Linked DNA regions of Xenopus tropicalis. The protein of the gene in region 1 binds, or shares a complex with, the protein of each later gene. Links are inferred from orthologs where the notes say so. Each region holds a gene or a part of one and is shown on either strand. Other genes may lie near its edges.

Region 1 (7,185 bases):
CTCTCGGCTGCACTCTCGGCTGCACTCTCGGCTCAAACACAAAGCACTTTTGGGATGGAATAAAGGTTTATGATGGGCTGGGTGTAGGGCAGCCATCTTGGTGTATTATGGAAATGTCCCTTGGGGGGCGGGGCTTACTGTCAGTAGGTACAGGCTACGTTTCTTGGCCGGGGTGCCGGGACTCCATGGAGGAAGGACTTTGTGAGCTGTTTGGGAAGTGAGTCCTTTAACGTGTGGCACAAACTGACTCGAGTAGCGTTTGAGTAGCAAATAAACATAGGAGTACGGCCTATTGGCTTGTAGTAAGGCACTGGGGTACGAGCAAAAGTACCATTATTCCTACTCCAAAGTCTGTCCAACCCCATCCTATGTGCAATTACTCCTACTCCGTATTCTATACAATCCCATCAAATGCATAACTATAACTCTTACTCCATTCTCTCCTCAGCCCCATACTCATTAGGATTACTCTTACTTCATAGTCTGCACAACCCCACCTTGTGTATAACTACTCTTACTCTATTCTCTACTCAGCCCCATAGTCTTATCCAACCCCATCCTATGTGCAATTACTCCTACTCCATATTCTGTGCAACTCCATGCATGCTCCATTCCCTACTCCACCCTGTCCTATAAGGATTACTCTTTCCCCAGCTCTGTGTAACTCCATCATATGCAGAGTCACTAATACTCTTATCAAACCCCATCTTATGCGGGATACCCTCTACTCTTCCCTACACAGGAGTATGCATACTACTAACTCTATCCAACCCCATGCAGTGCATTATTACTCTAACTCCATACTAATTACCCCATCCTATGCATGACTACTTATAATCCACACTCATGCAGAATTCTCTGTGCTCTCCTCAACCCATACGCTATTGCCCTACTCCATGCTGGTCCTGCTGTTTGTACCTACTCCTACTGCACACTCGCTAATTACTCCCTACTTCTGCACAGCTTAATGTATTACTATGCTGTTTTTGTATGAATCAATAGAGTGTCCCACCCAATCCTATTTATGACGAGTCTTACTCCAATCTTGGCCTGACCTCGCTGCCTGTTTGTTCCCACTGATTTGATTTACTTTTAATTAGAAATTCAAACCAACGAGAAATGAGCCTCATACATCAGAACGATCCGGGCTCTGCTGAGCGTCGGCGCCCCCCTCTCGCCGCTTGGTGTTTGTTCAGCAACAAGACAAGTCCCTGGACCCCTAAACTTGTTCCTAGCAACCAACAGCCCCGACTGGGGGCAATAGATCTCTAGGCAGTAGCCTGTAGAACCTGCATGTTGTTCTTCCGCAGTGGCCTTTAGTCAAGTCTATTCCTTTTTGGACGGCGGTGTTAATCTTTCCGCATTTGTTTTGTGACCTCAGACATGTTTGTCATTGTAAGGCCGATGGAAACACTCAAATATTTATCCCCCAGTTTTTAAACCCCACTGGTGTTTGTTGGCAGGAGAGGGGAAATGAGACAATACATGGAGGCATGAACATGTTCCTGCACTTGCCCATGCTTTCCGAGACATCCCTCTTGCCCCCATTGCGCCCATTCACACTGGGGAACCCTGGAGCTACTGCCACCCTGGACCTTGGGTTCCCGCATCAGGTTGGGTCAATGCACTAGGCTGGCACCCAATGAACTCTCTGATATGGTAGGGGCATTAATACACCCACTTCTGTTGGTCCTTCCATAGTTTCCCTTTGGGTGGTCCTTGCGGGGTGACACCCAAAGGTGTTTATACCTCGTACTAGACCAGGCCTCACAACATGGCATTTATGGGCACAACTCCATGGCATATGGAACGGAAGTTGTTGTTGGCTTTTGCAGCCACTGCCTGGCACTGAGCTCCTCTCCTGAGTTTACTTCTGAGTTATTTTCATATCTCTCCATAGTTTCCCTTTGGGTGGTCCTTCCGGGGTGACACCCAAAGGTGTTTATTCCTCGTACTAGACCAGGCCTCACAACATGGCATTTATGGGCACAACTCCATGGCATATGGAACGGAAGTTGTTGTTGGCTTTTGCAGCCACTGCCTGGCACTGAGCTCCTCTGCTTAGTTTACTTCTGAGTTATTTTCATATCTCCCCATAGTTTCCCTTTGGGTGGTCCTTGCGGGGTGACACCCAAAGGTGTTTATACCACGTACTAGACCAGGCCTCACAACATGGCATTTATGGGCACAACTCCATGGCATATGGAACGGAAGTTGTTGTTGGCTTTTGCAGCCACTGCCTGGCACTGAGCTCTTCTGCTGAGTATTTTTCTGTGTTATTTTCATATCTCTCCATAGTTTCCCTTTGGGTGGTCCTTCTGGGGTGACACCCAAAGGTGCTTATACCTTCCGTGTACTAGACCAGGCCTCACAACATGGCATTTATGGGCAAAACTCCATGGCATGTGGAACAGAAGTTGTTGTTGGCTTTTGCAGTCACTGCCTGGCACTGAGCTCTTTTGCTGAATTTACTTCAGCATATCTCTCCATAGTTTCCCCGTTTGGATGACATTTAGCGGCTTTGATTTTATTCCCAAAATATAAACCAGACATTCATCTCCATGGATTGTGACCTTACGTTCACTCGCCCTGACTATTCCCAAACCCCTCAACGGAATTTATTTCTCTATTTTCTCCAGAGATTGATGCTTTTGGCCCACATCCAGACTTGGGGTTTTGTTTTTATAATACTCTTGTATGTGTTTTTGTATTTGTATGATTTAAAGGCAAAGTATTCTATTATTTGAATTGTGTTTTGTTTTGTTTATTTTGCCTGTTTCTGGTCCTGACTACATGCACCTCTCCCCCAGGCCTACACTCTAATTCCAACAGCAGAGATAGGAACCCTGCTTACTGGGCTGCCCTGGGAAATATGTTGTACAAGCAAAGCTAATTCACCTTTAAAGCATCTTGCCATACTTTCTTTATTTTGGTCCTGTTTCCATCATTTCCCACTGCTTCTATCCTGACCTACTGTCTCCATCTTGCCCTACTGTCTCCATCTTGCCCTACTGTCTCCATCTTGCCCTACTGTCTCCCATCTTGCCCTACTGTCTTCATTTTGCCCTACTGTCTCCATCTTGCCCTACTGTCTCCATCTTGCCCTACTGTCTCCATCTTGCCCTACTGTCTCCATCTTGCCCTACTGCCTCCATCTTGTCCTACTGTCCCCATCTTGCCCTACTGTCTCCATCATGACCTACTGTCGCCCTCTTGCCCTATTGACCATTGCCCTATCTTACCATTCTTCCTATCCCACTGTCTCCATCATATCTTACAATCCCCATTGTATCTTGCTGTTGCCATTTTGCTGGGGGGAATATTTGGGCCCCCTATCTCTGTCTCTGCATTCCCGCTGGCTGGGGAGGGTCTCACCCATACCCGCGGGAGGCTGCAGAGATTTGATATGCTGGTGTTGTGCCCGCGGCACGCTGTACTGCCGATGACGACACGAGCCAATCAGACTTGCACGCAGGGCATAACACAGTAAATGGGAGAATTTTGATGCAGCTGCTTGGATTGAGAGAGAGCGAGAGAGCGAGAGAGCGGCTGAGATTCCAGCCCGTGGGTAGTCGCTGCCATTGGAGAGAATAAAGGAATCAGTGGGGGGGAGAGAGCTGAGAGGGAAGGGACCGTCGCACACCTCGCTGGCTGGCAGGGCTGCAGTGATGCCGGTGCCTAGATGGATTACATGTGGATTGACAGCCCGTACCTAAGGATCAGAACCGTATTGGAGGAGTCGGTTCCTGCTTGCGTGGTGGCACCGCTGGGAATCCGCTGTGGGGAGCTGGAAGCCCACAAGGCCGCGCCAATGGAGAACGTATTTCTGTGAGTAAGGACAGGTCTGTGGCACAATGTGTGTCGGACTGGGCACAAGGAATCACCCACAGCGATGCCCCCTCGTGCCAACATGACCCCCGGGGTGTTACCTCTAATGAGCAAATCCCACTGTTATTCCCCTTAATGCCCGGTGCTTGCAGTGCCCCCTCTTTCTGTGGCCGGGCTGCCTTTAGTGCCCTGCAGTTTGTGTGGCCCCCAAGCTGTATGCAAAGGGACCCTCAGGGATTGGCTGTAACTGTAGTATAGTGTGTATAGTAAGGCAAGATGGGGCTCGGCATAGGGGCTACAGTGCTGGACAGTGTGCAGAATAAGGTAAGGTGGTGCCAGGAGAAGGGGCTCTAACTATGGCATAATGTGTATAGTAAGGCAAGATGGCACTCGGCATAGGGGCTACAGTGCCAGGAGAAGGGGCTCTAACTATGGCATAATGTGTATAGTAGGCAAGATGGCACTCGGCATAGGGGCTACAGTGCCAGGAGAAGGGGCTCTAACTATGGCATAATGTGTATAGTAAGGCAAGATGGCACTCGGCATAGGGGCTACAGTGCCAGGAGAAGGGGCTCTAACTATGGCATAATGTGTATAGTAGGCAAGATGGCACTCGGCATAGGGGCTACAGTGCCAGGAGAAGGGGCTCTAACTATGGCATAATGTGTATAGTAAGGCAAGATGATGGTAGGTGTACAGGCTGTAACTGGGGGGGGATGCTATGAAATGTAGAAATATGTAATAGGCTGCAGGGGGGCCCCGTAACTTGGCACAACCCTGCCCTGTTCTGGTATAGAGTTTGCACCCTTTGTGCACTGGCACCTCATTCCCAGTGGAACCCATTGGGCACGTAACCCCTAAAGGACTTGTGTCACTGGGAAGCTCTTGGAATACAGAAATGACGTCACAATAGTGCGGCCAATAATGTCATTTAATGGGGCTCTTGGCATTTTAGCAGCTATATGGTCGATAGGGTCCAAATTATCTTAGCAACCAGGCAGTGGTTGGAATGAGAGACTGGGATACGAATAGAAGTGGGACTGAATAGAAAGAAAAGTTACAGAGCTGTAACAATAAAACTGTGGCCGCACAGAGCAATGGGTCATTGGTTCCCAAGAGCACAATGGAGGCAATTCATTGGCTGAGTGACAGTGGGATGTGCAATCTGGCGGGGGGGGGGTGGGGGTCATATAATTAGATTAGGGCTGATAAGAGGATTAGCGTTAGGGAGAGTGGGATAAATATATAAGGCGCTTTGGCTGAGCAATGAAGCCTTTGGGGTAATTACCTTCCTTATCCGCTGGCCCAATCCGGGGCAACTGGAAGTGACCTGGATATTTAGGTGCTCTAATACCATCCAAGGCTGTAGTTGTATAACCAGGCACCCATGGGTGCTATAATTGGGCTCCCAAAACCTCTATTCGAAGTCTGGGAGCCCATTGGCCCTGTGACTTGTATCTTTCTGGGTGCAATTAAGGACTCAGCAGCAGGGGAGGGGGGTGACTGGTCTGGGGCCCAATCACAGTGCAGGGACGGGGCCATAGCCATTGTCATAGGACTGCAAAAGGTACAGGGTTTGCTGGTGAGATGGGCAGGGGTCTGGGCAGGTAAGAGGGTAACAGGGCAGACTGGGGGTTTTGCTATGTATGTACCTAGCCTTGGTTACATGGATTCTAGGGCTCAGGGCCTGTGTGTGGGCGGGGGGGCTAATAACCCAGGCTCCATTGTGGGGAAAGCCCTGCTGATAGCATGTGGCCCAGTCATCTGTCGGACCTGCCAAATATCCTGCATTTTTGCCCCCCGTATATTTAATGGTGATATAAACCCAGCCATGATGCTGCCCCACGGCGCCCCCTAGTTTTGCTATAGAAGCTGCCAAAAACCATCATTACAGATGCAAGGAAATTCCCCAATGAGAATTGTACTGATAAATAAGTTGATTATAAATGCAAAAGAACTGCCCAGTGAGAATGCTGATTCCCAGCACTGTGTCAGGCCCCTTGCTGGTACCTTACATATAGAGATAATGATGGCATTTTCTCCCCTCATTATATGGCACAGGAATCAGACATGGGGATAAAGGGACAGACTTGTTCAGTGCTGGGAAACTGTGCTTATTGCTCCCAACTCCAATTGCAGGAACAGAGAACAGGGAGCCGGATTTACTCACATCAGCTGGGATTCTCATTGGAGGATTTTTCGCATGTTAAAGCAGTCGCTGGCTGTGGGGATTTGGGGGAAAGTTTTATTGTGCAATATTGCTTTAAGAATACAGCCCTGATGTTGCTGGACTACAGCTCCCAGCATGCCCCAAGCTTCATTATATGTTACATTATTGTGGGATTTGTAGCCCAGTAACAACTGAGTAACGTTGGGTTGAGCCGCGCTGGGCAGCAGGGTTTGTATCCCCTTTAACCTTGGGTGAGCCAATGAGAGTACATGGTCAGGGAATAATCAGGAGTGGCTGGGACATGGCCATTAGGGGGGCACAGGGGGAGTCCAACCAGTTGTTATATAACTGCCCCCCCAGGTGAGCCTTTGCCCCCCCGCCAGTCATATGAGTGCATTTATTAGGTTACCATGGCGGCACCTTGGCACTGTATGTGGGCACAGAGCTGGCATCGGGTGTTGGATTGCTGGCAGGATTCCTTATCACCCTGGCAAAATATTTGAGGATTAAGAGGAGTTTAATTGCTCATTGTTAGCGTTTGGAAGCAAATTCACGGCGGTAGGCGTGGCGCATTAACCCTCGTTATACCGGAGGGGCCCCGGGTGTGTTCCCTTTATCCCAGTGTGGGGCTCAGTCCCTGAAGCCCAAACCCCCCAGCGCTAAACATGACACATAGGGTTTCATCATAGGGAAGTGAGGGCATAATCCCCGGGCCCCCCAATATTTGTACCATCAAGAGGCACAGGGGGGCCCAAGAGAAATAAAATTGTTATTGGTTATTTGGAGTGGGTGAAATTTGGGTGCAATGTTGGCACAGTTTTAGCTTTATGGGTCGGGACTGGGATATGGGGTGTGTCTGTGTGTGTTCTCATTGGGGTCCCATTTCGCATGTTGGCAGGATCCTCCCCCTGGGGGTCTAGGTGACCAATGGTAGTGGGGTAACTATAGTGGGCAAGATTTCCACACTGAAACTTACCATGCACATACCATGGGGGGCTGAGCCTAGGGGTTCTGCCCCCCCCCGGGTAGATATGCTTCTACCCAGTGGGTAAATAATTGGGGCTCCCTAGGGTGGAGGGCCCTGCTAACTTAGTACAGGTATGGGATCCCTTATCCGGAAACCCCTTATCCAGAAAGTTCTGAATTACGGAAAAGCCATCTCCCATAGACTCCATTATAAGCAAATC
Region 2 (6,410 bases), on another chromosome or scaffold:
AGTATAGTATCCCAAAGTCTATAAATAAAAGAAAGAGGGAAAGATCGATGATAGATAGATGATAGATATAGATGATAAATAGATAGATAGATTTTATTTAGGTAGACACATCTTTGGGTATAAGAGACAATGCAAATGACATGATAAAGAAGTCCATAACTTCTAATTATGTTTCCAAAAAAATAAATTAAGATAACAATCAAATCAAATGCTTTGGTCCTATTTATCATACTATTTATGCCAGAAAATGGCATATTTATAAAGCCGTGTATTTTTTTATTCTGCATGATCACCGTATTCAACACCATAACATCATATTGCTATATTTGTGGCGTAACCTATTCAAGCTAACAGGAAACATTCTGGCAGAAAAAGATTGCATTACAAAGTGGTGATGGACAAACACAGGGTATTAGCCCAGAGGATCACCCTAGTAAGGTAAAAAGCTACAAGTCAACTTATGTTTAGTGATCCCTACGCTGATTTAGGGACAGATCTATGAACAAGTGATGGTTAATTCGAGGTAAAAAATAACATTTTGGCATAAAATGATTCACATAATCTGCCACATATACAATTATGCAGAGATGGCATAAATTTCAGGTGAAAGCTTTTCACCCGTTTAGTGCATATGCCACTTTAGTGGAGTTAGTGAAGTCTTTTATATGGCTCATTATTTGCAAGGCAGTGTGCAAAGTGAAAACAATGGAGCACAGGGGCTTATGGCTACTCGATGAATACAACACCATCTGCATTCAGGTTGTGAAAACAGGGTGGAACTGACACTGTGGTCTGCGCCTTACAACAGATTTTTTTTATTCAGCAAGGGGTGCAGAACTGGAGCAGAGACTTTTAATTCCCAATATTTCTTCAGCTGCTGCTCAACACCTGTCATTTCTGCCACGGAGGAAATTGATTCAATTCATTCATTACTTTTTGTCTTATACATTTCTATATTTACAATATATGCACAATTTCATGTTTTCTTGAGAGTCTTCTGTAGTGATGCACCTGTCTTGGTGTAATCATATGATTGGAGATGATGTGACAGATTGAATGGAATGCAATTTTCAGTTATACATCTAATAACTGTACGCAGTCTGTGTAGCATTTGTCTTTAGAGAGCTGTCTTAGCAACAGTAAGGGCTATGTTACTGATAACTTGGAAGTGACAGTTCTTAGTCAAATTTATTTCTTTTCTTAAATATGGAACTAAATGCATTAGAGCTAAGTGGTAAGAAAATAAAAACTGTGGGAATGAAAAGCTACATTCACACTACATTATCACCTGCATATAACTTTTTTTATTTTTTATTTTTATTACTTTTTTATTATCTTATGTTTCAATAGTATGTATGCATACATATACACTGTGTTTATAGAGTGCTATTTAAATATGCAATGCTGTACATTTCTATAGTACAGGCATGGGATTTCTATTTATAGACTGCTATTTGAATATGCAGTGCTGTACATTCCTATGACATTGGATTTCTTATAGAACCCATTAGCTGCAATGCTCAAAAATACAGTAGTACCATTTCCCATAGAGCGAAGTTTTAACAAATAATGTTTCATTTTTGACTGATAAATGAACTAAGCTAGCATAAAATCTGTTTTGATGCAAAAACATCATCATATTTTTTTATGTTTTTTATTGCCTTAAGCCATGGTACTCCATTACATGGTACTCTACAGAAAGACTCCATGTCCAGAAAAACCAAAATTCCTAGCCCTTTAAATAATACATTTTGTAACTAAACAGAAAAGGGACCCAAACAGAGCAATGATTTAAAATTAAAAGTACACAGATACACATGTATGGATGTATAAACTATCACACTAAGGGGCACATTTACTAACCCACGAACGGGCCGAATGCGTCCGATTGCGTTTTTTTCGTAATGATACGATTTTTTCGTATCTTTTGCGATTTTTTCGGCATCTTTACGATTTTTGCGTAAAAACGCGAGTTTTTCGTAGCCATTACGAAAGTTGCGCAAAGTCGCGATTTTTTCGTAGCGTTAAAACTTGCGCGAAACGTCGCGCCTTTTAAGTTTTAACGTTACGAAAAAGGCGCGACTTTGCGCGCAAGTGTTAACGCTATGAAAAAATCGCGACTTTGCGCAACTTTCGTAATGGCTACGAAAAACTCGCGTTTTTACGCAAAAATCGTAAAGACGCCGAAAAAAACGAAAAAAATACGAAAAAATCGCAAAATTACCGAAAAAGTCGCAAAATTTTCGTTTCCAATCGGAATTTTTCCAATTCGGATTCGAAATCGTGTCTTAGTAAATCAGCCCCAAAGTGTCACACAGAGGCACATTTTACACAATTTCTCTGACTGGCTTATCTACTCATAGCTACACTAACCTTTTCATTTCTCTTTATCCCACAGGGAGTTGTACATTAAACCACACTCATAAAATGGTACTTGCATCAAAATGCGTTTTTTGCACTTCCATGTACGGTAGTTGGTGCTGCTCACTATTTAGATGCAATAAAGCAATTTGTAATTTAGACTCCCTTATGTTTCAGAAAATGCACACCAAGCCTGAGGCACATTTACTTACACTGGGCAAATTATCATCAGGCCGTAACACATGGCAACTAATTAAATGTATGTTTTCATTGTTTCACTTGCATCTGAATAAACAAAGATACTTAGTGACTGGTTGCCATGGGTTACTTTACAGATGCCAATTTTGCCAATTGTCAGTAAATGAGCACCATACATTTTACAGTATATAACAAGTGAAACAATGTATGCATGATACAGCACCTCTAAGACAATGATTATGATATTTATTGTCTTTGACTATATGAATGTGTTGCTTACTAGTCACCAAGGAAATTGTCATTCACACACACACACACACACACATATATATATATATAAATATATCCTAAACACTGTTACTTAACGTTTGTTCTCATTTGTTTTGGCAGCTCCTTTTATACCACCCAGTAATACAGACAGCATTGTGAAATTTGATGCATATGGAGATGGAATTGGTTTATACAATGTGTTCAATTTCCAGTATCACAATGGTAAATATTCCTACCTGAAAATTGGCCAGTGGGCAGAAACCTTGTCACTGGATGTTGACATAATACAGTGGTCAAAAAGTTTGGTTCCAACATCACAGTGTAGTGACCCCTGCGCTCCAAATGAAATGAAGAATATGCAACCAGGAGATGTATGCTGCTGGATTTGTATCCCATGCGAGAAATACGAGTACCTTGCTGATGAGTTCACATGCATTGACTGTGGGGAAGGACGATGGCCTACCGCTGACCTAACCAGTTGCTTTGATCTACCAGAAGATTACATTAAGTGGGAGGATGCCTGGGCAATAGGGCCAGTGACCATTGCATGCCTTGGATTTGTATGTACTTGCCTGGTTGGAGGAGTCTTTATCAAAAACAATAGCACACCTTTGGTGAAGGCATCAGGAAGGGAACTCTGCTATATTCTCTTGATTGGAGTTTTTATGTGTTATTGTATGACATTTTTCTTCATAGCCAAACCTTCTCCTGTCATATGCACCCTTCGACGTTTGGGACTTGGAACATCTTTTGTTGTTTGTTATTCTGCTCTACTGACCAAGACAAATCGCATTGCCAGGATATTCAGCGGTGTAAAGGATGGTGCCCAAAGACCAAAATTCATCAGTCCCAAATCCCAAGTTGTCATATGTCTCAGTCTTATCTCAGTTCAGATTGTTGTTGTATCTGTATGGCTCATGTTGGAATTCCCTGGCACAAGACGCTATACACTTCCTGAAAAAAGAGAAACTGTTATATTGAAATGCAATGTCAAAGATTCCAGTATGCTAATTTCACTGACATATGATGTGGTCCTGGTGATATTATGTACTGTATATGCCTTCAAAACAAGGAAATGTCCAGAAAATTTTAATGAAGCCAAGTTCATTGGATTTACAATGTACACAACTTGCATTATTTGGCTTGCTTTCCTGCCTATATTTTATGTCACATCAAGTGACTACAGAGTAAGTACAATAGTCCTATTTATTTCTTTTTTTCTCACTGTATTATGACTAATATCTCTGTAGGAGCCCAGCAGTTAAAAATAACGCCACAAAATAAACTGCATGCTGTTGTTTATGGATGAGAAAAACATGCATGCTTCCCATAGGAAAATGTTAACCTCTAATTAAAAGTCGTAATGTTTTGCATGTAACATATAACTATAAGAAATATGAAAACTTAAATCATTTTTAGCAGACTTAAAGGAACAATTCAGTGTAAAAATGAAACTGGGCAAAATAGCCAGACTGTGCAAAATAAAATATATTTGTAATATAGTTAGTTAGGCAAAAATGTAATCTATGAAGGCTGGAGTGAGCAGATGTCTAAAGTAATAGCCAGAACTCTACTTCCTGCTTTCAGCTCTCTAACCTCTTTGTTCAGTGACTTTAGGGGGAAGGGGGGCACATGGGACATAACTGTTCAGTTAGTTTGTGAGCACGCAGGTCAGATTCAAATGCAAACAACTGAACAGTTATGTCCCCACCGAAAGTCACTGACTGGTTACTGATGGCTAACAGCTTAGACAGCTGAAAGCAGGAAGTAGAGTTCTGCCCATTATGTTAGACATCCGCCCCAGATACTGGTGCAAGTGCTCTGTGTATGGAGCAGTTGTGCCATAAAAATGGTAAATGAGCCCTAAAGTATTTTTGAAGCCTTAAACTCTAATGATGTTTCTATATCAGAATAGATATGAATGAAGTTTATGTTATAACATTTTTTTTGTATTTTAGGTCCAAACTACAACAATGTGCATCTCAGTAAGCCTGAGTGGCTTTGTAGTTCTGGGGTGCTTGTTTGCGCCAAAAGTTCATATTATCCTGTTTCAACCACAGAAAAATGTCGTAACACACAGACTACATCTAAATAGGTTCAGTGTTAGTGGTACAGCAACCACATACTCACAATGTAAGTACCTTTTTATTCAGCTTACAATAATTACAAAGCCCGCCAACACTGGGGGAATGTAATAAAAGTTGATGGCAGAAAGATATTAACAATGTGAACAATTTTCTCCTTGTGCATAATAGTTCTTGTGTAACTATTATGTATATATTAAAGTTGTTATTGTTATAACAATTCATTTAGCAATGTAATGTTTATGATTAGGCAGTTATTGCTTTGCACTTTGAAATCACATTAGTTTTTGGGGGGAGGTTGAAACCTGCTTATGTTATATTTTTTTCAAAAAATTATTATTTTTTATTATTATTATTATATACACTGCAAAGCAATAAAAGTGTGCTGCTTTTTCTCTAGCAACTGATGTCAGTATACACAAATTTCATATCTGGGCGCCCCTAGGGCTCCCCCAGTTGTCGCCCCCCCCCAAACCCGCGCGACCGCAAGTTTAAACTTCCATACGGAGCAGTGGGGAGAAGTCCCCATTGCTCCATATTTGAGGGAAATTTCTAAATTTTGTTGCTGCGGGGCGGCCTCGCCACAAATTCAGGCCTGAGTCTGTGCTAATACCTCAAACAACCCAATAGCCTGAGCTGTAAAAGTTTGGCATGTCTGTCTGTGCTATCCTCTGTAGTTTTTCTGTATCCACTGTATTGCTCTTTTACAGCAATAATGCAACAAACAGAACACACAGAAGAGCACAGATAGCCATACAGAATTAGTCCTGAAAGTGTCTTTTTGGAAGCAGCCACTGTGATATCTCTGAGTATTTAAAGGAACAGTAGCACCAAAATATGAAAGTGTATAAAAGTAATTACAGTATAATGTACTGTTGCCCTGCATTGGTACACCTGGTGTGTTTGCCTTAGAAGGACAACTATAGTTTATATAAACAATGCTGCTGTGTAGCCATGGGGGCAGCCATTCAAATGAGAAAAGGCACAGGTTACATAGCAGATAACAGATAAAACCCCATTATATTCTACAGAGTTTATCTGTTATCTGCTATGTAACCTGTGCCTTTTCTCCCTTTTTCCAGCTTTAATGGCTGCCCCCATGGCTACACAGCAGCTTATTTATATTAACAATAGTAGAGCTTCTGTTGCCAATACACTAATTTTACCAGTGCAAGGCAACATTACATTAGTTACTTTAAAACACTTTCATTTTTTGGTGTTACTGTTCCTTTAAAGTTTACCATAGACTTTAGTGAACTGGCATTTAGTGGGCAAAAACAGTGCCTTTTAGGCTAACTTAATATGTTACATTTATTTTTTAATAATTTGAACAATTAACTTCTCAAACATGAGGGTACCAGGGTTCTTGGTGGGATCTTGGTATCAGATTCTCTGGAGGGCCCTTGGTGCCCCAGACACTGGTGTTGGTATAGAGGTATTGGCATAGAGATTGGATTGGCATGTAGATTGCTCTAGCAACTCATCATTCCGACCACT

What was found. Proteins that work in one complex are often made in the same cells at the same time.
Region 2: the proteins of arrb1 (region 1) and grm3 are in contact, whole or in part, in a cryo-EM structure (PDB 9II2), measured with the Homo sapiens proteins. The link is inferred for Xenopus tropicalis from reciprocal best matches to the Homo sapiens genes ARRB1 and GRM3. Residues at the interface, in NP_004032.2 of Homo sapiens: Gly5, Thr6, Arg7, Val8, Phe9, Lys10, Lys11, Ala12, Ser13, Pro14, Tyr21, Arg25, Arg65, Glu66, Asp67, Leu71, Gly72, Leu73, Thr74, Phe75, Arg76, Lys77, Arg103, Leu104, Lys107, Pro133, Arg236, Phe244, Asn245, Thr246; in NP_000831.2 of Homo sapiens: Pro605, Lys608, Ala609, Ile669, Phe670, Asp671, Gly672, Val673, Lys674, Asn675, Ala677, Gln678, Arg679, Lys681, Phe682, Ser684, Cys761, Pro762, Glu763, Phe765, Val834, Val835, Thr836, His837, Gln855, Ser856, Ser857, Ala858, Ser859, Thr860.

The regions. Positions count from the first base shown.
Region 1 is NC_030678.2:175,780,839-175,788,023, forward strand, and holds the start of arrb1 (beta-arrestin-1), read left to right. Parts: upstream 1-3,338; 5' UTR 3,339-3,682; coding exon 3,683-3,828; intron 3,829-7,185. UniProt on the Homo sapiens protein: Functions in regulating agonist-mediated G-protein coupled receptor (GPCR) signaling by mediating both receptor desensitization and resensitization processes.
Region 2 is NC_030679.2:81,082,327-81,088,736, forward strand, and holds part of grm3 (metabotropic glutamate receptor 3), read left to right. Parts: intron 1-2,949; coding exon 2,950-4,016; intron 4,017-4,787; coding exon 4,788-4,962; intron 4,963-6,410. UniProt on the Homo sapiens protein: G-protein coupled receptor for glutamate. Ligand binding causes a conformation change that triggers signaling via guanine nucleotide-binding proteins (G proteins) and modulates the activity of down-stream effectors.